Linked DNA regions of Drosophila melanogaster. The protein of the gene in region 2 binds, or shares a complex with, the protein of the main gene of each other region. Each region holds a gene or a part of one and is shown on either strand. Other genes may lie near its edges.

Region 1 (5,321 bases), on a different chromosome or scaffold from region 2:
GGGAAGTTCGAGGCAGCTTGGAAGATTCCTCAAGATGATGACACGCCTCCGATTGCAAAAAGTAGGCCATGGGCAGATGAAGTCCCCGGACCTCGTCCAAAAACTGCTCATACTGTCCAATCCTAAACATTTTCTCGCTAAAATAGGTGACGGCTTCCTCAGCCAACGACTGAAGATCTTGCCATGCTGCCGTTGAGCCGGCGGATCCGTACTTAAAGACGCGGACATAGGATTCCATCTGCTGGTTGTGTTGGTGGCGTAAAATTGAAAATCCTTGCCTGTACAGGGTATCGATACGCGCTTCTAGAGAAGAACGATCCGATCGGGAATTTAAAATCTTTCCCAATTGAAAAATGATGATGGCATCTGCTTTTGGGCCATTAACGCCGCGCACCGCTTCCAATCCATGTTGTAGTTGAGCTCGTTGCTCGGCGCGATTGCCTTCAGTGATAAGCTGGTTCGAGTTAAGTCGCACCACCAGATCCCACCAGTTACTTTGCTCCGGTGCGCCTAGTTGACCCACTAGATTGGCAAATGGCATCATATGTGGCCGGGCGGCAGCATTGCGGTTTCCCAAATTGGAGGAGTCATACACCTCACGCTGGATTTGCAATTTACGTCTGGTCTGAATGGTTGTGGCATAAAGGTAGAGGTCCACATCTACCTGGCTGATTGAATCTTGCCCACAGTAGTTTAGATTCTGCTTAACATCCCGTTGGAAACCCTCATAAAAGACCACGCGTGGCGCATCTCCAAGTTTGTTCGGGTCGGTGCCCAGAGCCAGGTAGACATGTTGGGCTAAGGAGTGTGGCGGCAGCACCAACGCTTGCAGTTCGTAGTTCTCGATATGCGCCAGATTCGGCCACTCAAAAAGAGGCAGCTGCAGACGCAGGTTCCGCACCAGATGCGAAGACGTATCCTTTAGCTTGTGTTCGGCGTGGGTAAAGAGCTGTTGGTAAATTTGACTTCGCCAGCTCTTGTCCAAGCATTGCTGGTGAGCGCTGGCCAACAGCTCTTCGGAGTCGGCAAATAATCCCGGCATAGAATTTCCCGAATTCTTATTCTCATCAAACTCGGCATTTTCTCTATCGTTTTTAATTTCCATTTGTGACCGGTCCAAGCAGCCCAAAAGGGTTCGTCCAAGCTGGGCACATCGAAAGGCGCCCTGAGGGCGCCACATCTGTATCAACTGCTTCTGTTCCGCGTCGCAGTGTTTTATCCATTGGTTGGTACTCGAATCATCGATCGGTCGCACCTGGTAACCAAGGAGCAGAAGTGGCAAAGCGGAGCGAAGCGTGCTCATCCATTTGTTTTTGTTTGCCAGAACCTCACGTTTGAAAATCAGTGTCACCGCGTGAAGCAGAAGCTGGCCGGTAAAGTGGTCAATACAAGCCTGGTGGAGATCCCGCTGCGGAGCGTCCCCTGACCTCTCTATCGAAGTGCTAAACTTGAATAGATATTGATCAAGTCTGAACAACTGCTTGCTGCTGTCTGCCAGTCCACTGCCCTCCAGGCTTAGCTGCACGAGACGATCGAGAGTGTGCAAGGCGAAGTGCCAAAATCGCCAGTTCTTCTTTACATCCTTGGCCATTTCTATCTTGAAAAGGACCATCCAGATCTGCTCGTACCATTCGTTCGACTGGCTCGTGCAGTTTTTCGACTCCAGTTCCGTTTTTAGAGCATAGTTGAAGGCCTGGTCTATTTTCATTTTTTCAACATAGCTGCGCAGCAGTTGTATGCGTATATTAACATCCTGGGGACGCGCCTGCAGCTCCTTGTACATAAGAATCTCGAGGGTATTTTGCTCGCCGTCTCCGCCACTGGTGTCATCTCTTTCGCCGTTACTGTCCGCAAGATTTACACGCATTCGCAGGTTGAAGACTTGCTTGTTGCCGCTTAAATCAAGGCTATTAGCCTGATCCAACCAGTACCTGGCGCACTCCGTGATCGATGCGTTGTTCTCCTTCACCAGAAGTTCGCAGGCGTCAATGACAACCTCTGACTGACGCGGATCAATTTGAATAGAACGTTGGTAGTGCTGCAGGGCCTCTGTCACATCGGGCGGGTTCAGCCTACTGTAGCAAGTGGCAATCATGTTATGGCCTACAGCGTCGTCCCTCACCCGGAGATAGCCGTTCAAATACTCGATGGCTTTTGGGTATTCCTGAACTTTCATGTACAATCGAGCTACAGCCAAGCCTTTGATATCGCGCTACAATATACATTTTATTGATTAGTACGTTAGGTTCAAAAAAGTCTGTTAAATTTTTAGACAATCACTGTGAGCTGGATAAGAATAACTTTGTAAGATTTGACTTATTGTGTGCTTATTATTTAGATAGAGCTACGTTAGACCGCAAAAAATCATTCAAATCCACAATGGAAATTCGAATTATTTTTGGCGGTCTTACAAATTCAGCGCTCACTCTAGCAGATTGATATGGTACACATAACCTCAAATATCTAATTTGATTTATACAGAGAAGGCGAAAGCCATGCAGCTGCGAAAAAAGCGTTCTATTTGTCAAGTATATGAAATGCAGCCGTTGAAAGAAAAGCGCGCAATTTCTTATTCAATCTCAAAAACGACGGCCAAGTGACGCCGACTCACACACACAAACACAAGCAGACGCCGCACGCACACAACGGTGTGCTTTCAATGGCGGCGCCTGAAGATTTCGCAATGATTTTCTTTTTGGAAATTCCGATGCACACTTTGGCCGTTTATTTACCTCTCTTCCCGGCTGAAGTTTTCCCAACATTTTGTGGACGTGTGCGTCCACTTCTTTTCGCGTTGTAAACATATCTGTACTTTTTTAAACACGTCCAATTTGCAGTGGACGAGACCTTGCAAAAATGTGCTTCGCGTTAGATTCTTCTTCACTCGTCATCCGATTGAAGCAGATTCCTCGAACGGTTAATTGCCCCGGCCGGAAAATCACGTAGATTCGGATGGGCAATTCCAGTCGCAACAAACTGCACTCGTTTGCGGTGTAGATTGGAACGTAAATATCACTAAATTCCAATTAAAACTTAAGCTGAACAGCACGGAAACCAAAAAATTTGTGCAAACTTAGTGCTGGAACAAAAAACGATGACTACGCGTTTTCATCGATGGGCGCGAATATATCGCGTCACCGATGTTTTAATGACTATAGCAACTATCGATTGCTACGATTTTTTTTCGAACAAACAAATAAGTATAAGGGATTTAATAAATAAATTAAAGAAGGTTCAAGAATAATATAAAACTTATGATAGTTTAACGAAATTATGAAATATAAATATAGAAATAGAGTGTAGATCATTGATATTCTTCTGATAAATCTTTTTTATATCATATTTTTTATATTCTTTTATTTATTATTCATACAATTTTATATAAATTACTTCATTTGCACTTTCCAGAAGAGCAGTTTCCTATCGGAAACCGCACTAATGTACGGCAATCGCTGGTGCCAGGCCATTCCCCCATAGGATTTCAGGGAGGCCTCCAGCAGAGGAACGGTCGACTTGGCCGCGAACACTTTGAGAGTCAGCCCGATGACCATGGCGATAACCATCTCGGAGCTGCCTGGCGCGAAGCGCACCACCCGGCCGCAATCCTCGTGGACCTGCTTGACATCCGCGGGCACATAGGGTCGGTTCAGGTCCCAGGTAACCACATCTCCGCCGGCCAGCGAGGTGATGAAGAGCCGGTTGCTGTGGGCCCAGTCCGCCGACATCAGGGGGAATTTGGGCGACTCCACGGAGATGACTGTCTGCTTGAGCGTCACATTGTATAGATGAATGATGCCTGCAAGGAGTTTCCTTAGTTACACCGCGGGCTAAACACTGGTAATAGCAAGCACACCCTTCTTTTCCGCCACAAGAACCTTGTTGGGATCCTCGGGGTGACTCTTGACGGACATTCCAGCGGAGGACAGGCCAAAGGTTATGACATTCTCCCCGCCGCCTGTCGTCGTCCAGAATCTGCAGGTGAAGTCATCGCTAACGGAGGCCAGCAGTTCGCCGTCGCAAACCCAGGATACATCGTTGACGTAGTCCCCATGCCCACGGAGCACCTGGAGCGAGGTGAACTGGCCCAGATCGGTGCGGTATAGTTTAAGCTGGCTGCCGTTGGCCGCGCACAAAGTCACATTGTTGGGCGTGCAGTTGAGCGAGGTGTCCGGCGAGAAGGCCAGTGCGCTCACGCTCCGCTGCTCCTTTTCGCCCAGGTCCATGTCCTGCAGGCGTGTGTACCCGAACTCGCCGCTCTCCTCCTGCGGATTAAGGGTTAACCATTCAAAATCATTCAACCTTCACTGGTCTTATGCATGGAAACCCACCGGCAGTCCAACGAGCAGCAGACTCAAGTGTTTCCTGAAGGCCACTGCGATTAGGTTGTAGGCAAAGTCATTGGTGCATATATCGTAGCAGTAGATGGCTTCATTAAGCTGGATGCTGTGGTCGGGCTCGATGACAGATCGCATCTTTCTATAAATATTGTTTGTTATTCGCGGGATATATGCAACAATTAGCCGGCGCCAAAAAAATGTTTATTTTAGTATGACCAAAAATCAGTGGAAGAATTTTCCAAGATTTTACACTTTTAAAAAACAGAATACGCAAAGAAATGTTATTCGAAAATATATTCGTTATTATGTTTAATGCTTACATTATTGTGCCTCAAGTTTTAATAAAAATGGCTAGTCTTAAAAAGAAACATAACAATATTTAAGTAGTCATACGTCGGCGAACTTTTTAATGATAGTAATAGTAGTAATGCCTAATATCGACTGTGTAGCGTTTGCTTTTTATAAAATTTATTGCTAATACACGAATAAAGTCAGAATAAATTTTGAACTCAAGCAACACACACTCCAGTATTGGAAAGCGTGAGCAGCAGAGTTGCCATCGCCCAGCTGTTCAGCATTATTTAGTGCATTCTCGGGCAAGTTAAGTTGGCTGCGATTTACCCCACTTCCTTTTCCGTGTTAGCTGTGAAAGAAAAAACATGCCGGTGGGTTCCGAATTGCGTTAAAATTGAATTTAAACACAGAAAACTCAACCGAATGATAACCAAAAACGGCCGCTTATTACCGCCAAAGTGTCCAGTGTAAACGGAGCAAGTGTCGGCCGATAATAACGGCCCTGAAAGACTGTAAAACAAATGTCTGGCCCGCTTCCATTGAATGTGTGCGATACAAGCCACGCATGGCGTGCGCCAGTGAAATTGCAAACAGTTGTGAAATGGCCAAATGAGATTTAAATGGAATCTTGGGACTTACAGGAGGAATTGATTGCACTGTCATGTGAAATCGACGGATATCCTTGCACAT
Region 2 (5,312 bases):
GAAAACTCCAAATAATAAATCCCATTTGGTTACTTAGCCCAGGACAAGTCAGCGCAGGAGAGTGACGACGAGGTAAAGGATATTATTGGCGAGACCACTTTCATCAAGCCCATGAAGAAGGTGCGCAGTTCCGGATTGCTGCACTCCGTCGAAGATCTGAGCACGGACTCCACTTGGGTCTATCGCAAGCACTCCGGCACGGACTCCAATCGCGGAAGTCGTCGTCGGCGCAATGTCTTTGCCAACGACGAGGTGATATCCAAGATACAAGCCCACTTGGAGAAGCCTCTTTCGCCGCCGAGTGTGGTCAGTCGCGGACTCAGCAAGAGCATGGAGATACCCACTCCGGTTAGCAACCTCAGTGATCTCAAGCAGCAGCCGGTGGAGCAGGCGGAGCTCGGCATTCTAGACTCCCAGCTGGTGGAGTCCATTATCGATGGCGACGGCCACCTTGCCGCCGATGAGGATGACGATGACGACGAAGAGCGGGGACCACGCACTTGCTGCGAGCGCATCGAGATGTACCTGGACATCAGTCTGCTGCAGGACCCGAGCTTTATCCTGATGTGCCTATCCGTCACCTTGATGTCCGTCGGCTGTCCCTACATGTTGTACTATCTGCCCGCCCACGTTATTTCAATAGGTATACTATTTAAAATGTTCAAAGTATATTCTTTCGGCGTACGATTTTAAATATTATAAACTTGGTTCATCTTTAGGATACAATAAAAGTGAGGCGGGATACCTGGTGGCCATCAGCGCGGTCCTAGATTTAATTGGGCGCCTTGGACTTGGCTGGCTGTGCGACCTGCAGCTATTCGATCGCAAGAAGACCTACACCTTGTGGTGAGTACCAGATAAGGTTTATTTTTCGATCCAAACTAATCACATTTCCCTATATCGACAGCATTTTGGGCGCCGGATGTGCCGTGCTCACAATTCCCTTCGCCAAGACTCTGGTTTTGGTGGGTCTATCGGCCGCTGTCTACGGACTTTGCCTGGGTAGCTGGTATGTACTTATGCCGGTCCTCCTTGCGGACGTCTTTGGCACGGACAGGATCAGCTCGAGCTACGGGCTGGTGAGGATGTTCCAGAGCATCGGGGCCATATCGGTGCCTCCGCTGGCAGGACTGATGCGAGACCTTTCCGGAGACTACGAGATATGCTTCTACTGCATGGGATCCTGCATGGTGCTCGGGACCACTCCGCTGATTGTGTGGTCCATCCTGGAGGCCCGCAACCATCGGTTGTTTGTTCAGCGCGAGGAGGAGGAGTGCGAGGAGGCCTAGAAATGATTCGGATTCGTTGGTTGCCCCATATGTTAATAGTGTTTTAGTAGCGATCAAATACTAGTTGAGTTCCTGAGTTTCAGAGTTCGAATGCCTCACCGATATTGCTGATTCTACCAGTTACTATTACTACTATCCGTACGTTCTCATCCGTATCTTTGTATCTTAATCAATCCCCATGCCCACCCGCACCCAATCGCTTGTTATCCTTCCGTTGAGCAACAGCAAAAGGATGTGTAAGATGATGATATTCAAACGAAGAAACCAAACAACCTAAACAACCAACAACTGAGCACCAAATGTTGCGCAAAAAGAACTGAGTTTAAAAGACATGAACTACAAATACCCGTATATAACTTTATAATATGATAACTACGATCAATGCCCGACTAGATGGTTATATAGGCCGACTATAGTTGTAGGTTCGCACATCCATATCGGAAAGGACTAAACTTTGTGCAGGAAAAATTAAGTGGCTTTAGACAGAAGGGAGGCTTGAATGGAGAACATCACATTACATTACCCTAGAATTAAAATAGTTGTTGTGAGACATTTACCCATAAAGACAATTACCAAATAAACACGAAATCAAAAGGTTAATCGCGTTTTATGGAATTAAAGGGAATGATTTCGCTTGGTTTGGGTTTTGCATTCGTTTATGTTATTAAATAAAGTCCTTTCTTTTTTTATTCGTAATAAAAACGGATTTTTCAACCACGTTTAAAAAATTTTTTTTATGAATGAATTTATCTCTTTTTAAAGAAAAACATTTTGTTTTATTAGGCTGTGAATAGGCTGTTATAACGCTGTTGAAACAGTGAGAATAATATACTCGAATCGATAGTACCGAAAAATATCGATATTGTTCCATCTCCACTGCATTGACGTTCATTTTTTCGCGTCCCTAAAGCGACTTTGTGCACAATTCGCAAAAAATTAAGACTAAAGTAAAGTAAAAAGTAAGAAAGTAAACTTCGCACCGCTCCATATAAATTTAACCGCTGCTTGACAAGGATCAACTGCGAACATGGATCTCAGTGGTCCACAAACTCTGAACAACATACTTCAGCCCGACGAGTTGAAACTCGTGCCGGAAGACGTCCAGAAGAAATTGTCGGAGTACATCAACAATTTCTCAGATGAGTACTGCAAGAACCGTGCGGCCGCCAATCGGTTGGGTAAGTTTTTATATTTGTATATATACTAAAATGCGCCATATTTTGCAAATAACCCTTTATTTGCATGCGTATGCTTTTACCTCCAACTTTGCGGCGTTTACCGGCTCAGATACCGCTTCTTGTAATAAGCAATCCGCGACTGTATGGTTTCTAGCGTGGTAAACACTCTTGCGCCATTTACATATTTTTTGTATAGAAATTTAAATATAAAATTCCGGGTTGTTGCAATTAAAAACAATGGCTGCTTGCAGCAACATTATTTTCCTTATTAATTTTCACCTCACCGGTGTGGTAACACTGGCCGGACATTTTCCCACCAAAACAGTTGATTAGTCCGAGTTTGAAATCTTCAGGGAATTTCTGTGTATTCATTTTAATCCAAATACTTTGTGGTTACTTAAATCCAGTTAAGAAGATTATTTATTTTTGCCCTTTTCACAGCCGAAGCCGAGCAAAAAAAGGAAGAGCTGGAGAACAAAATGGAGGACTATCTAGTAAAATTTACCAGCTTTGAGTTAAATGTAAACGAGCTGCGCACTCATCTAGATCAGATGTCTTCGGAACGAGTTAACCTAATGGACACGATCGCCAAAGGCGAGCAAACTATATCACAGTTGCGCAAGGAAAAGGCGTCGGTAGTTGAAGAACGCGATTCGATGATGAAGGTAATCGAGCGCCAACAAGCGGAGCTGGAACGATTGAAGCAGGATCTGCACACCTACCAGCAGCAGCTGAGCAGCGCGATTGCTGCCAAGTGCGAAGCCATTGCTCGCGTGGACGAAATTCAAAGTAAGGAAGTGGCTCTGGAGCTCAAAGAGAACCGCATGGAAAGCGAACGCGATATGCTGCACAAGGAGATTTTGTTAATCAGCGGAGATCTGAACAAAAGCAACGCCGAGTTACAGAACATCCGACGGGAGCACACAATAAACACCATGCAGCTACAGTCTTGCCTTAAAGAAAAGACCGAATCGCTAAAGCTGATGCAGGAACAGTACGAACAGGCCGTCAAGACCATCGGGGAACTAACCAGCAAGATTGAAATGCAAAACGACACCGCCTTCAAGCAGAACCAGGCCACGGAAGAGTATGTGGGGAAGCTGAAAAAGGAACTTGATGCCAAAGAGAAGCTTTTTGAAATCTTTAAGAGCACCGAATCCGATCATCTGATCCAACGGGAGGAACTCCTACAGGGCATCTCCGAAATTAAACGTTTGTTAGAGGAGGCCGAAGAGCAGTGCGCCCAGTTGACGGAGCAAATGGAAACCATGAAGCAAAAGCACAGCGCTGAGTTGGACGAGCAAAATAAGAAGATTCAGGCTATGGAACAGGAGCTAGCAAGTGCCAACGATTTGCTAAAACAGGCCCGGGAAAGTAATTTGGAAAGCGCCATATGCCAGTTGGCTCCCAGTGCGGCTGTGGCTAGTCGCCTTATCCGCTCCGATCTATCGCTTACCGAACTTTACTCCATGTACGCCAAAAGCAGCGAAGAACTGGAGATGCGAAACTGCGAAATTGAGCAGTTGAAGTTGCAGCTCAAGTCGATCATTGCTGAGATTTCAGAGAGTGCACCGATTTTGGAAAAACAGAACTCCGATTACCAAAAAATGAAGGAAACTAACAGTGAGCTCCTGCGGGAGCATGATGAATTATTACAAAATAAGCTATGCCTTGAGCGGGAATTGGAAAGGGCCTTATCTACCCTTAATCACAACCAAAATGAGAATAAGAAACTAAAACAGACACACACCGATCTCAGCCGACAGGTGTGCATGTTGCTGGACGAATTGAACTGCATAAGGGCTGGAGTGAAACATGTACGTATCCAACCAACTCGTCAGCTACCCACCAGCGAAAGTTTGATCAGCGATAACTTGGTAACCTTTAGTTCTATTGAAGAGTTGGTGGATAGAAATACATACCTCCTGAATATGTCCCGCGAGCTCACAGAACTTTTGGAGGCTAGCGAAAAGAACCAAGATAAGATGTTGCTGGAGCAGTCTAAGAATCACATAAGAAAACTGGATGCGCGTTTTGCCGAATTGGAGGATTTATTAACGCAAAAGAACAATACGGTTACTACACTACTATCCAAGTGCGACCGCTACAAGAAGTTATATTTCGCGGCTCAGAAGAAGCTCGGTCAAAATACTGTGGATCTGGACGACTCCAATCTGGAGCCTAACGACTCTGCACTGGATACTTCAGAGCAGCCGGCAGCCAATTTTGAGGAGAGCAGGAAACTGGAAAAGAGGGTGCGACAGCTGGAGCAACAGTTGGAAGGGGAGGTCAAGAAGTATGCCTCACTGAAAGAGAACTACGACTATTACACTAGCGAAAAGCGTAAAAACGATGCACTGGCCCAAGAACAGTTCGATTCTATGCGTAAGGAGGTGCGGGAGCTAACCAGCAGTAACTGCAAGCTTATGAACACCACCGAATTCCAGAAAGAGCAAATCGAACTACTTCACAAAAATATAGGCACCTACAAGCAGCAGGTGACTACATTGGAAGAGCGTACCAAGAACTATGAAAAGACCATTATTAAACACGAGCAAACCGTACATTTGCTCAAGGACGAAATGATGGCGGCACACCGCAAGCACGCAGCAGCCGATGCAGAGGCTCAAAGCCTTCGCCAAGAGAACCGCATTCTAAGGGACACATCTTCTAGACTGCAGATCGAAAAGGAGACTTATCACCGCGAGCAGCAGAGCCAATCACTGCTTCTAAACAGTTTGGAATTCATAAAGACCAACCTTGAGCGATCTGAGATGGAGGGTCGCCAGCGTTTAGAGCAGCGTTTAGATGACACTGTACGGGAACTGGCTGCTCAGCGTCGTCA
Region 3 (5,346 bases), on a different chromosome or scaffold from region 2:
TGTAACGCGGTGTAGACGACGACGTTCCAGAAGCTGCTGCATCGTCGGCACCAGCAGTTTGTTAGAGCGCAGTTCCGCCAACTCGTTGATGTGATTGGGCACCGAAACATTGCGGCTGGCACTCGTGGAACGTAGATACGGGGTGGCTGGCGTACCCTGGCGCTGTTGGCGACTGCTTTGATGCTCCTTGATGCTGCTCCCCATTCGCTTGGCATCGATCAATGGCGTGGAGTAGCTTTCAAGTAGGTTGAGAATGCGCATCGTGGTGTTCGACAGCCCGGTACCGGGTTTCTTACTGCCACCTTGGCCCACAGATGTCTCCGCAAGACTGCCGGAGTCTGAAGGTCGCATATCTACCGCTTTCATACCGTATCCAATACCACCAGTCATGGAAGCATGCAGCTGATGCGCCGGTGAGCTGCCGGCAGAATTGAGTCCCAACATTGAGGATGCGGCGGATGAGCTAAGATTGCTGCGACTGAAGAGGCGATTGTTGCCGGAATTGCCCCCGAAGGTGGTGCGTCCCTGGTAAAAGGGCGAGCTAGAGGCAGATGCAGAGCCTGAGTTAGAGGCACTGCCACTAAGCAGACGACTGTCGCTCAGTGCCGACGTACTGCCGTATATGGACGCATTGAAGCGACGTCGTTGGGTAAGGGAATTCAGCGACCACGTAGAATTCCGATGCGATTGCTGTGCGGCGGTGTTGCTTCTGTTAAATATTGACTTGGAGCTCTGCAGATTTCCGTAAAATTCTAAATTGCTGTTGCTGTTGTAATGCGACGGACGAAGTCCGTCGTGCCCTTCACCATTGTCGTGGTATTCGTTCATATCGCTCTCGGACTGCGAATCACCGCAACCTCCTGCGGCCGCAGACAGTTCACTTCGTCTTGTTTTTGTCTCAATGACATTGTTGTTGTTATTATTATTATTATTATTGTTGCTAGTATTGTTGTTGGTCCTGCTTATTCTCAGCAAATGATTGAGATGTTCTTCCGAACTCATGGCCGGGCCAGTCCCCGTCTCATCCATGGTAAGATCGCGTCGATGGGTTTGCTTGCCTATGAGCGATGGTCGCTTGTGGTTAGGAAGGCTGGATAGGCTGTTGTTGTAGCTGGTAGCGGTGCTGCTGCCTCCGAAAGGTATGTTCAGTGAACGGCGGATGCTAAAATGATTTAAATGATTGCCTTATAATTTTCACTAAGGTTTTCTTCTTTTTCGTCTTGGCAATAGCCTGGCTATGCAACGCCCAAATTTGAGTTTGTTTGAAACGAGCTCTAAGGTAGTTATCTTTTTGAATTCCATATTAACACTTTTAGTAAGCATGACTGCAGTAACATACCTGTGTGGCAGATCCCCGGTGCTTCCCTCGGCAGCTTCGTTGCCCGTGAAAAAGTTGTACGCGGGTTCGCGCTGCCGTTGACTACCATACAAATTGAGGTGATTGCGCCGATGTGGCGCAATGTGGCTGACGCCCTTGTACATCTGGGAGCTGGAGGAGCTGGTGGCAGCCGCGAGCGGAGCAGCAGGCGTGGATGACAAAAGGGGCAGACGACGCATGTTCGGCAAATTGACGGGGGTCTCCAGCTGAAAGGGATTCAAGATTAGTTGGGAAATGTAGACAGGATTGAAGATGTGATCTTACCTCCAGGCGTCGACGCTTGGTCTGCACGGCGGCGGACTGTTGGAGATTCTCCTGCTCTTCATCGTCATCCTCCTCATCGCCATCCTCGTCGTCCTCTTCCAGTTCATCCTCCTCGGCCTCATCCTCGTCACCGCCGGCAGCTGCAACAGCCCCGGCTCGCTTGCGCAGCAGGAACACATTGTACTCGCTCCGCCGCGTCTGTTCATCCTCGGCGGCCAGGTCGTGTTCGGCTATGTTGTCGGCCAGGGCCACCTCCTCATAGTTGAGGCCTTTGGCATCGGAGCCGTCATCAAGATCATCGGCTGCATCGGCATCCACTTCGGCTAGCATTATCCGACGGCGTCCTCGTTTCCGCTTGGTAGTGAGGCGTCCATTGGACTGGCGTGGCTGTGACTGGCGGAGATTAGCTGGGGAGGATAAGGCATCGTTCCCATCTTTGGACGACGGCGAAAACCAACCGCTCAAGGAGGCGGGCAGAATGCTGGACACGCGCATCTTCATCTTCCCCATGATGGACTGCAATTGCAATTGCACGGAAGTTGGATATTTGATGGGAACCAAGTTATCGTCGACTGTACTTACGTTGTTGCTGTCAGACTCCCGTAGGGCTCCCGCCGAGGATTCATCCTCTTCCTCCTCCTCCTCCTCGCTTTCTTCAGGCAGCTCCTTGAGCGGCGTCAGCGGATGCTTTTTGGCCAATTCGGCTTGCGAGGATTCCCTTTGCTCCTGTGCATCCTCCATTATGCCGCTTTAGATTCAGACTCACCTTTTTAGCCGGCGAAGCAACGGCACAAAAGAGAGATGCAAAAAAAACGCGAAAAAGAAGCGTTGCCGCACACACAACAAAAAACGTAAGTAAAAAAAAAAACCAAAAAAAAAGCACACACTGTTGCAATTCCTGCGAGCTAGTTTGTATGTGTAGGTGCGGATAATGTTCGCTCACTCGCTTCGTTCTCACTCTCTATCCTGCCTTCTCTCTCTGTCTGTGCGTGTGCAAAGGTGTGAGTGCGCTTACGCACGCCGTCGTGGTTTTTTTTGTTCGCGTTTCGCCGAGGTTTTACACACGCCGCGATATTTTTAAATAATATTCTGTTTGGCGCCACAAACTGGTCGCGTTTGATCAGGATTTGACTTCTTGGCCACCAATGAAGAGCAAATTCTGGGCACAAGCACTGCAAAATTAGAGGCGGGAAAAAGGATTGAATACCGAATTCGGGCGAAGCGCTCGAGGTTCTTGCTTTTGGCTTTGCCCTTACCGCTTTCCAGCATGCCGCCCGTTTTCTTCAATATTTGTTTTACTTTTGCCGGATAGATTTGATATATATTTGATATATTTTCACCTTCCTTTTGTCTTTGTGCTTCTTCCACTTCTTCCGCACACACTGCTTTCGCAATTCTTCGTTCCTCTTCTTCACGCTCTGCTCACACACACACGCGCGCAGCGATTCGGTACGAATTTTGGCGTTTTACCGCCGCGAAATCCACACTTTTAATTGCAATTTAACATTTGCCGCTGGTCGCATTCAGGTTTTCCATTGTTGCACGAGAACACGCACCACCGATTTGCAAGAAACAGAATTTCAAAAGAGCACGATTTGATTGGGGAAAAAACGCGTGTGTGGCCACAAAGTAGAGCTGGAACCAAAATCGATGTTTGTCAGATACTATCGGCGTGTCGGGCAGCGTGTGCTAATCGATACGTTGCCTGCAGCTATCGGTTACATGCACGTTTACGGTTTGGAAGTCTGTAATTATTAAATATTTTTAATTGGTGATGAACTGCCATACGGGCTTATTACTCAAGAACCGCTTCAAGTGCGACTTATAACATATGTAACCATTTGCTTGTGTTGTCATTTGAATACTAAGCATTTGCATTGACTAAAAGGAATTCTCGTTTGTATCTTTAAGTTGGAGTGAGGTATTTGTTTAGGTTTTTACTTGGCTGTGTGATAATGCAAAAGTTTAAATACTGTACTAATGTTAATCGATAGTTGTCCTAAAAAGAATTTCCAGCGAGTTAAAATTCAGCGAGTGCTAGAGTGACCACAGATTCTGCATTAGAAATAAAGCAAATATAATAAACGAACATAATATGAGCGCCAAATATAAAAGCCCTTATTAAGGTGCAAATATGACAAAGAAATTATACAGTATAAATGTTAAATAAATCTTAAAAAATGGGTTATAGGGGAAACCATATTGTTTTGGTTCAATTTTAGCAAGCCATTTTAAAACAACTTGAATTTACTACTAGATGAATCAAATATGTTACCTCTTAACGTCTAAGAAATTTACATTTTTAGGGCTGGAAAATAAATACCGCTAGTCGATATCGTCATCTTCTCAGTTTTGCCATCCCTAGTTGTTGTTATTGTGTTCGTCGTGTTGTTGTAGCACAGTTGTTGTTGTTGCTGCTGCTGGGCAAACAAGTGTTAAAAACTATTTGTGCTGCAATATTTTCAGCAATTACCGACCGCCCTCGCCGCTGTTCACCACCCAACTTAACCAGCAACCCAGATTGGAGCAACAAAATCCACAAAGGCATAAAGAATCGACTTACACAATAAAACCTTAATCGGTTGGGTAAACAACTTGATTGCTGTGAGCAGCCAGTTGGGTTAATCTCTTCGATTTGTCAAGTCCAGCAACAATGAGCCAAACGGAGGCTAGCAAGACACCCAAGATTCCGGACTCGGAGCCGGACGGATCGAAGGGCAAAGGGAAGCAACAGCTGGAAACTTACCGGGTATATGTGGTCACCTGGAATGTGGGCAGTCGATTTCCGGATAACATATCCCTCCGCCATCTGCTGGGACTGCAGGATGTGACGGTGGATAAGGACACGAAGGAGACTAATGCCCACTTGCCGGACATCTATGCGTTGGGGCTCCAGGAGGTCAATGCCCAGCCGCAGCAACAGGTGTTGGGACTGTTCAAGGAGGATCCGTGGACGCACAAGGCTAAGGAACTGCTACGCAACTACGACTATGTGGCCGTAAAGACCGAGCAGATGCAGGGGCTGCTGCTCAGCATGTTCGTGAGGCGGCAGCACGTTGAGCACTTGCAGGACATCGAGGCGGAGTTCACGAGGACCGGTTTCGGTGGCATTTGGGGCAACAAGGGCGCCGTCAGTGTCAGGTTCACCCTTTACGGCTGCGGACTGGCCTTTGTGGTGGCCCATCTGACTGCCCATGACCATATGATGGACGAGCGCATCGAGGACTACAAGCAGATACTGGAGAACCATCACTACCACGTCAAGCGGTATAGGGAGATCTACGATCACGACTATGTCTTCTGGTTTGGCGATCTGAACTTCCGACTGCAGGGCAGCGATTCCTCGACGGAAGTGCGCGAGTTGGTACGCGATGAGTCCCAGCACGAGGCCCTTATCCAGCGGGATCAATTGTATCAAGTTCGCGAGAAGTCGCAGCTGGCCTTTCAGGTTCTGCAGGAGCGACTGCCCGCCTTTCCGCCCACCTTCAAGTTCCGCGAGGGCACCTCCGAGTACGACCTGAAGCGGCGGCCAGCCTGGACGGATCGGATAATGTACGCCGTGCAGCCACTGAACCGGCAGCCCGGCATGCAGCTATCCATTGAGCAATGCTCGTATAAGTCCCATCCCCTGTACACCATCAGTGATCACAAGCCGGTGACCAGTGACTTTACCATCAAGCTCTACCCGAATGTACGGGCGCCCG
Region 4 (8,307 bases), about 11 Mb from region 2:
ACGTCAAACGAACTATGCACTACTGCTGTTATGACGTCTTTCCGATCTGCAGGATCACTCTTGTTGTAGGCACCCAAACTCACTGATCTGTTAATATCGGAATGAGAATCATCTTCACTTCAAAGTAAATCAAATTATACTCACTGGACGTCTTGGTCAACTATGCAATGCGCAGCTGTCAAAACGAATCCTAAGAAAGCAATATTTGTATTATTAATTAATCTCGTTCCGTTGAAATATACAAACGCTTATGAATCAGCGTGCCACCGCAGATAAAATGTGTCCGATTGTGTACAGCTGCCATCCAGACAGAATTTTGAAATGCTGCATTATGCCCGCCGGTGATTTTGAGTGCGATATTGATTCCACAGATCTGGTCCAAGAAGATTGAAGCACCCACATCTTTGAGGAACCAAAAAATGACGGGAATCCAAGCCAGACGTGTCTGCATCTCATGAGATGTTCGAATGAAATAGGTGATAACCTTAGCATGAGCATAATACCATAGCAAGTATTTCATAAAAAAAGAAACCCTTATCATACTAGACTATAAATACTAAATAAAGTTCAGTACACACATTTCGCGTGAAGTAAAAACACAGTTTTTTTTTTTTTAATTTTAATAAAGATTTAAGATTTAAGATTTTTAATTTTAACTGGTATTCTTATTTCATGAAAACTGAACAAGCAAAACTATTGAGTTATGCAACACATTTATTATGAACTCAACGATAATTCATAAAGCTCGATCTGAAATAGTAAAATTTAATATTTCGTTAGTCGTATGCATTCTTGGAAATACTTATATAAGTATGCATATGTATGTATGTCGGTCGAACTTACCCGCCAAACGCTGGTTTCTGTGCATTTGAGTTTCCAGTCTGTGCTAGATTTCCGAAAGAGAGTCCCGATTCCTGTCCCCCCAACGTTTCAAAAATGTTTCCCTGTGCCGGCTTTGCAGCAGCACCAAAGGGTGGAGGGGAGGCTACTGGGCTGGCACCGCCAAATCCACCGAAACCCTTCGGACTGCCAAAGGTGGCACCTCCCCCAAAAGTGGGGCTAGCTCCAAAGGCCGGGGATCCACCGAAAACGGGCTTGGCTCCAAACCCACCTGGTGTCGTAGTTTGCTGCTGCGGGGCTTGTGGTGAGCCAAAACCTGTCTGGGCCACAGATCCACCCCCGCCCTGGCCAAATCCACCACCGAAGCCCCCCTGAGCTGGTGTCGTCTGCGTGAAGGAGCCAAATCCACCAGAGCTGCTGCCACCCCCAAAGATCGATCCGCCAGATGCGGGCGGAGCTGTTGCTGGTGATCCGAAAATAGAGTTTCCTCCGCCACCAAAAGGAGAAGCTTGCGGACTGCCGACGGGATTGGAGAATATATTCCCACCTGCTGCCGGTGCAGCCGCTGATGATTGACCAAACACTTTTTGGCCAAAAATTGAAGTACTTCCTGCAGCCGGAGCGCCGACTGCGCCCTGCGTATTACCTCCTCCAAAAATTGAGCTGGATCCAAAAGGTGTACTGGCGGATCCGCCACCAAAAATAGATCCTCCGCTATCGCCTGCTTGTGCTGGTTGTCCAAAGACACTTGGCTTAACAGCCTGACCAAAAATGTTACCGCCAGAGGCTGGTGCTCTAGTCGTGGGACTACCAAACGGCGAAGGGTTACTAATCGCGGCCGATGCAAAGAGACCCGCTGGTGGTGCATCTGGTGTTGCCGCAGCCGTGGTGTTTGAAGGAGCAGTTGTAGCTCCTCCGAAAACGCTGGTCTCCGCCTTAGGTATACTGCCAAAAATGTTTGCACTCGAAACTGGACTTTTTGCAGCTGACTGAAAGGGACTAGCCACTGGAGCCGCTGTTGATGTTGCTACTGCGAAGCCACCACCAAACACTGAATTCGACGAGTTATTGCCTGTAGATGTAGCGGTTGGGCTTTTGGCAGCTAAGGGAGCTGAAGCGCTGGTAGTTGGAGCTGCAGCACCTCCCGCACTTAGGGTGCTAAATGCGTTTGAGAAGGAGAACGCACTGCCGGGAACAGCAGTGCTAGATGTTACCGTTGTGCTCGATGTTGCCGGAACTGCTGCGGTAACTGCCGCAGGAACTACTGCTGGACTAGACACAGTCGTCGTAGCAGTAGTAGTCGAAATGGCTGATGGGGTGGTTGAAATAGGATCAGTTTTGTTGTTCGCCTCCGTCACACTTGTGGGAGCTGTTGCCACTGGTTTGGTACTGCCGAATAATCCCTTTGAGGCATCAATCGTTCCGCCAAATGAAAAGCTACCAGCGGATAAACCTCCTCCAAAAATGTTGGCTGGTTTGGTGGTATCTGCAAAGTAAAAGACATATATAGCCGTTTAGAGTTTATGCCAAATAAGCGTATACATTTATGCGTAAGGTATATTGATAAAGGAAACTATAGCTTACCTGCAGGAGTGTTGGGCTTGCAGATAGTCACAGAGCTAAAGAGGCCTCCAATAGGATCCGTGCTGCTGGTCACTGCATTTGTTGTGGTGACGGAAGGAGCATCAGTTACGCTGCTCGAAGCAATTACATTCGTAGGCTTGCTGGTGATGGTGGTTGTGTTGCTAGTGACCGTGGTGATCGGTTCAGAGTTGGATGGTTTCGCCAAAGCTGCTGAGAAGATGCCAAATGGTGCAGTTGAAGCTGATGTGGCTACACTAGTGGTTGCTGTGCTGGAAGGTTCAGATTTTGGCACAGCAGCGGCTGTTCCTCCGAAGCCTAGAGATGAACCCAGTCCGCCAAAGCTGAACGGGGAGCTGGAAGTATTTCCGACAGTACCTCCAGTTCCTGTAAATCCTCCAAATCCAAAGGATTTGTTTTCCGTCTCTGCCTTTGGTTTTTGGGGTACTTTTGACTCTTCTGTTTCGGGTTGTACCGCCTTGAATTCTTTGCTTTCTGCTGCTTTCTGCTCTTTGGGCTTAGTCGGCTCGGGTGTTGGTTTTTCGACCGCTGACAACGGGTTTGGTTTTGGTGTAGGAGCTGCCACGGCTGGCGATCCTGTTCCGAATGAGAGTGCCGACTTGGCAGCACCACCACCAAAACTAAAGCTGGAAATAGTACTGCCGCCGAAAATGGATAAACCCGGCTTGGCTGCTTCGCCAGGAGTCACAGTATTTGTCGTTGGCGTCACAGTAGATGTCTTCACAAATGGGATGCTTTGGCTGAAGGAAAATGGCGTAGCCACTGGAGTTGTCGGATGTGTGGGCACTCCAGGCTTTTCCACAACGGACGGTATAGATGGCATTGGTTTAGGCAGCGGAGGAGCCACTGTAACAGTTGCTTGTGGCATGGGTGCAACAGCTGGCGTGGGTGCAACATCTGGTGGTGAAGGCGGAGCGACTGCTGCTTGGGTGTATTTGTTGGCTGTTGCAGGCTTGGCTGCTGCCCTTTTAATTTGCTCCGCCCTACGTTTCGTTTCCAAAATAACCTCCGACTTGAGCCCCACTCGATCTGGTCGCTGGGGACAAATAACATTGATCTTCTGCAGCTGAACAATATTACGGATTTTTTGTAGTCTTTCTCGAGTGAGCTTGGCTGCATTAGAGTCCACTACCTGGCTAAGACTCATCGTGAGAATGGAGTCGGTCAATGTATCCACTCTAAATAAAAAAGTTATAGTCGCATAAAGAGAGAGGTCACAATAACTTCTACTAACGCTTCGTTGGTGCGGGTGCGACTTTTCTCCTGGTCGAGCAGTGCGGCCTGAAGCAATCCGCGCTCCTTCAGTTTGGACTTGATGTTGTTCTGTACAATTCGCTGGTTAGAAGTTAGATTTTGTAGTCTTGTCAGTCGTTGATAGATTCCCTCTAGGCAAGGCATGTGCATGCGAGACTTCGAATTGCGCCGCACAACATCCTGAAACTGTTCCCACTGCAAATCGACATGCTGCTGGGCAAGACGCAGCTGGGCCTCATTGGCAGCCACGTAGCTCTGAAGACGAGCTAGCATGCGACGGCCAGAGGGATCACAGGAGCTTGAGTTCATTAAACGCGTAATCCTAAACGAAAATTACGGGTTTTAAATAGCTTATATATTCAAAGAGTCCTTTACCCACTCTGGTTTTCTATAAATCTCCAGTTTCCCGCGGCACTCTGCTACGATGGCATAGGCCTCATTAAGACCCTGTCGCAATCCCTGTACATCTAACTCGAACTCCACATCCTTGGCTTGTTCATTGAGCTCTTGGAGGTCATCCAGTCTCTTTGCGTATGCCCTCAAAGCAGATGGTGCTGCAATCTGCGGAATAACAACTTTAATACATGAAGCAGTGTAATACCAACACTACTTACGCCTTTGAGGAGTTCCTTCGTCTGTTCCTTTTGCTTTTGGATATCCTTGCTAAAGGCTTCGATTTGTAGGGCAATCATGTCCTTGATAATAGGCTCAGTGTCATCAGGCTTAAGACTTTCATCTGCGATTTGTGGAGGAGCTGAAGTGGCTGGTTTTGTGTCCACTGGTGTGAATGTTAAAGGAACCGTGTACAGTGGTTTGTTTGCTGGAGCAGAAGCAGGAGTTGCGGGTACTGTTGACCCAGGTGCCGCTGTTCGGGGTGTCACACTGGCAATAGCCGGTTTATTCAATGCCATTCCCCCAAAGGCATTTGCTCCTGAAGCCGAAAACATGCTTCCCATGGCAGTAGTCGTTGCCTGCGTGCCAAACCCACCAAACGGTGTTGTTGGCTTGGCTGCATTGGTAGTTGGAGCACCAAACGAAACCGGACTAGAAGTCGGAGCAGTACCAAAAGATAGTTGCGGAGCAGGTGCCTTAGCTGCAGCTGCTCCAAAGCCAGAAAACAATGATGGTTGCTTATCCTTCGAGGGAGCTGGGGTTGAAGTAACGGTATTCGGTGTAAATGCAAAGGATATGTCCGAGGAAGCAGCAGGAGTTGCAGCTGGAGCCTTGGAGGGACTGGCTGCCCAAGCTGGCTGCTCTTCTTCCTCACTAGCAAGCAGCATATTCAACGGCTTGAACTGCCCAGAAGTATCGGCCACTGGAGGAGGTGGCGAACAAACAGACACCGCCGTCGGCAGCACATTAAGAAAGTTGAACGAGAGCAATTCTCCATCCGAACTCAAAACATGAACCATGGGCATAGTCTGCAGCTTCTTCTCATTTATCGTCAGCTGGTGCGTTGTAGAAGTGTCGAAGGCAAAGCCCAGCGGGAAGGTCTCATCCTTGTCCTCACTTAGGGGCATTTCAATGCGTGCCTCATCCAGCAATGTAAGCTGCTGCCAAGCGGGTGTATCGCCGGCCTCGGTTGACCGCATGATGCCCACCTCTACGCCATTGGCCGAGACTACGAGCAGCAGATTCCACTGGGGCACATGGCTAAATACGAACTGATGATTCCTCGGGCCGTTCATGCTATAGCAGATGTCATAGTAGTTTATGTAGCTGGGCGCACCAGCCTTGGGAGCATTTAGAATGTAAAGCGAGGGGCTACAGTCCTCGCCATGCTGGAGAAAGATCACTGCAAACTGGAAAGTCGACAGCCACTGTATAGCAATGGTGTCAAAGGGGGCATCATGTATATTCGGAGGACACAAAAGCGTCTTGGCCAGAGTCAGATCCGGCTTGAACTGCTTCACCGTGCCGCCGGGAAAACCAAGAACGATCTGTTTGCCCTTGGGCGACCAGCAGCCGCACTTAACTTGTTGATTTTTGTCCAGCGAGTGCATTTCAAAGTTTCCCCCCTCCTTCAGGGCATACATCGCGAGCGCTCCGTTGCTCAAAACAACGGCCAGGCTGTTGGGCAGCACGGGATTCCAGAGGAGCTGGACGCCGTGCACGTGATCCTCGGCGGCGAGGCGAATATTATAAACAGGACGTACATCAGGGGTCATGAACGATAGCACCGCATATATGCTGAGCAGGCTGGTGCCGTTCTGGGTGTGATTCACGGCCAGCAGGTTGCCATCGGAGCTGCAGGCAATGTAATTCGGAATACTGGGCAGTGGCACCAGACGCGCCTGCGGCTGTTGGGCTGTGCTCTTCGCATTGACCAAATCCTTTACAATAATCACTGCAAGGAGTGCCAGGATAAATTTATATATTTAGCCTAGCTAACTCAAGCTACATTACCTTTGAGTTCCGGCTGCGTTGGACTCCCGGCAAAGAGCAATCCCCGGCTACTGGAGACCGCCAGCAGGTTCACATTGCTGCGGGGCTCACCGCATTTTTTGAACGCAACAATCTTGTGGTGCAGTTTGAATTGAAAGTCCTGCGACCAAAACCAATGGAATGTTTGACATCTCAGTGCTATGCAATTGTGCTTACCTGCGTGTCCTCGCAGTCTGGTGCATTCTGCGCCATTTTTGTCTGTTTTCGCTCCTATTTCGCCAAATTTTTTGCGGCTTGTCGATTTCCCAATCGAGTCGATGGTGTGGCTGCAAGTTGAGATCGTTGGAAACGTTGGCAAGCAAAAAGCGCGCCACTTGCAGTACGGTCACTTTCAGGAAACTCACCACAAAAACTCACCACCAAAAAATCCAACAACATATACAATACAATCTGATTTAAATTTCATAGATGTTCCTTTAAAAAGAAAATGGGATAAAATCTTATATAAAAATAGTTTTCTCCTATAACTAACTGATGAACTTGTTAACTAAAAGAAACCAACTTAGCTTGAATTAAGTATTCACCAATCTTGTCTTAGCGGTTGACCATATGGCAATTGCACTTTGTTGGTATTTTTTCAGACGGTATTTTGTTTTGGACAGTATGTGCGAGAACGAAAATTTCAGCACATCGCTAGCGCAGCAGCCTTGTTGTTGTTCGTCTGTCTCTGTCCTACAAGCGTTTCTTTTTGTTTGCTGAGAATTAAACAAAAGCGATTTGTTCGCGGGCAATGCGAATGCATTTGCAAAGCAGGGCACAAAGCATCGGCTGTTTCGACTGTGATTGCACAAAGCCATGTAGTAGAGGTCGAGCTGGCGATTCGCAATTATCCACAGGCGACGCAACACGGTGCTAAAAATTGCGTAGCCAATTAATCTCGAAATCCTTCGAATTCAATCGCAGTTACCAAAAAGTAAATGAAATTTAAATCGACTTAAACAGAAATCTGTGGATTTTATTTCGATATTGCCCATAAAGTACCCCAAATCACATAATTTACGGAAAAGTCAAGGAAATTCCAGGTGAAAATTGGGGTTGGAAAGGAGGCCAGGATAACGGAGTGGACTCTAATTAAATACCCTACAGTTTTCCCCTAGAGCAGCCAGGCGACGCTCAAGATGATCAGCAGCCTGTTTTCGCGGCTTATAATGTGAGTAATAACCGATTACTACTATAGCAAATCCCGACTTCATAGCCACCGCAAGTGAGTGTGAGTGCGAGTGAGAGCGCTACAGCTGCTGACCCCCAAAAAAAAACAAAACTAACTTTTCAAGCTCGGCCTTCGAAAGCGAGAAAAGCACCTACGAAGCCCGTCGTCGTTTCCTAATTGTGTGGGCGTCACGCTTCTGATTTCTAAGTTTTATACATTTCCGTGGTTCCTCGATTCGCTGATTGCCGGATTGTTTGTTTATTAATCAGCTGTCGCAAAGTACCGTTCACTTGTGCGCGAGTGTGCGCGGCCTGTGTGTGTAACCCTCGATTGAACTCCTAATTTGGAGTTGCAACTTTCCAAGCTTCTGCGTCTCTGTGTTCCCGAGGCCGACGCACTCGCCTCGCCCGATTTGGGTGCAGAACATGTGGATATAGCCTGTCGGCGACCCGGCGACTCTCTGTGACTCCGCTATTGTTGTCAATATTTATAGATCGCAACTCGACGCTTGCCCATAGTGTGGCACAGTCGCGGCCAAGTAGCTAGCACCTCATTTGTTCAAGCACACAATACCTCCGTTAGCATTTTCCATTATGTCAATACATCTTAACTTCGAACTAGACTTTACTTTTGATAATGAAATTAGTAATCGGTTCAAATCAATAACTAACATCATAGTCAAGATATATAGTTCTTACATCTAAGGAATTAAATCGAGGCGATTTCTCCCATTACTCGCTAAAGTATCCTTTCCAAATTAAAGATTCAAATATCTTGATACTGAGGTGCTATTTTCTTGAACGCCTCTGTCGCAACATTCGGAACTGCGGCGCATTCCTACGTGTAAACATTGAGTGCTCCTCTGTTGCTGGTTCTCTCTAGACCCGATCGTGGGTTTATTAATAGACCTCTCGCCTGAGCGTTAGACGCCGAGCTACGGCAGTCTCTGCTCGGCGTTCTAGCGGCCAGGAACTATCTGCGATCCGTGCTGCGGGCAATGCATCCCCGTTGCCATG

What was found.
Region 1: Mgtor (region 2) and Nup358 share a complex: the UniProt entries of both Drosophila melanogaster proteins name them as parts of the nuclear pore complex.
Region 3: Mgtor (region 2) and Nup153 share a complex: the UniProt entries of both Drosophila melanogaster proteins name them as parts of the nuclear pore complex.
Region 4: Mgtor (region 2) and Nup214 share a complex: the UniProt entries of both Drosophila melanogaster proteins name them as parts of the nuclear pore complex.

What each region holds. Positions count from the first base shown.
Region 1 is NT_033777.3:25,247,114-25,252,434, reverse strand, and holds the start of Nup358 (nucleoporin 358kD), read right to left. Parts: upstream 3,088-5,321; 5' UTR 2,805-3,087; coding exon 2,733-2,804; intron 2,213-2,732; coding exon 1-2,212. Other genes in the region: Nup37 (nucleoporin 37kD), read right to left, coding at 3,387-3,796, 3,854-4,262, 4,329-4,472; RpS27 (ribosomal protein S27), read left to right, coding at 4,997-5,002. UniProt on the Drosophila melanogaster protein: E3 SUMO-protein ligase. Component of the nuclear pore complex (NPC), a complex required for trafficking across the nuclear envelope.
Region 2 is NT_033778.4:11,850,440-11,855,751, forward strand, and holds the start of Mgtor (megator), read left to right. Parts: upstream 1-2,177; 5' UTR 2,178-2,316; coding exon 2,317-2,467; intron 2,468-2,908; coding exon 2,909-5,312. Other genes in the region: Sln (silnoon), read left to right, coding at 38-643, 720-846, 908-1,289. UniProt on the Drosophila melanogaster protein: Component of the nuclear pore complex (NPC), a complex required for the trafficking across the nuclear envelope. Functions as a scaffolding element in the nuclear phase of the NPC.
Region 3 is NC_004354.4:16,597,192-16,602,537, reverse strand, and holds the start of Nup153 (nucleoporin 153kD), read right to left. Parts: upstream 3,298-5,346; 5' UTR 2,899-3,297; exon of another isoform or gene 2,815-2,898; 5' UTR 2,384-2,814; coding exon 2,225-2,383; intron 2,159-2,224; coding exon 1,643-2,158; intron 1,585-1,642; coding exon 1,340-1,584; intron 1,163-1,339; coding exon 1-1,162. Other genes in the region: CG9784 (uncharacterized protein), read left to right, coding at 4,296-5,346. UniProt on the Drosophila melanogaster protein: Component of the nuclear pore complex (NPC), a complex required for the trafficking across the nuclear envelope. Functions as a scaffolding element in the nuclear phase of the NPC.
Region 4 is NT_033778.4:22,918,322-22,926,628, forward strand, and holds Nup214 (nucleoporin 214kD), read right to left. Parts: upstream 6,422-8,307; 5' UTR 6,334-6,421; coding exon 6,298-6,333; intron 6,242-6,297; coding exon 6,103-6,241; intron 6,044-6,102; coding exon 4,311-6,043; intron 4,258-4,310; coding exon 4,076-4,257; intron 4,019-4,075; coding exon 3,677-4,018; intron 3,621-3,676; coding exon 2,425-3,620; intron 2,327-2,424; coding exon 844-2,326; intron 751-843; coding exon 726-750; 3' UTR 616-725; downstream 1-615. Other genes in the region: CG30187 (uncharacterized protein), read right to left, coding at 1-87, 145-190, 247-451; ReepA (receptor expression enhancing protein A), read left to right, coding at 8,305-8,307. UniProt on the Drosophila melanogaster protein: Part of the nuclear pore complex. Serves as a docking site in the receptor-mediated import of substrates across the nuclear pore complex including emb, RanGAP and phosphorylated Mad. Protects mbo/Nup88 from proteasomal degradation at the nuclear pore.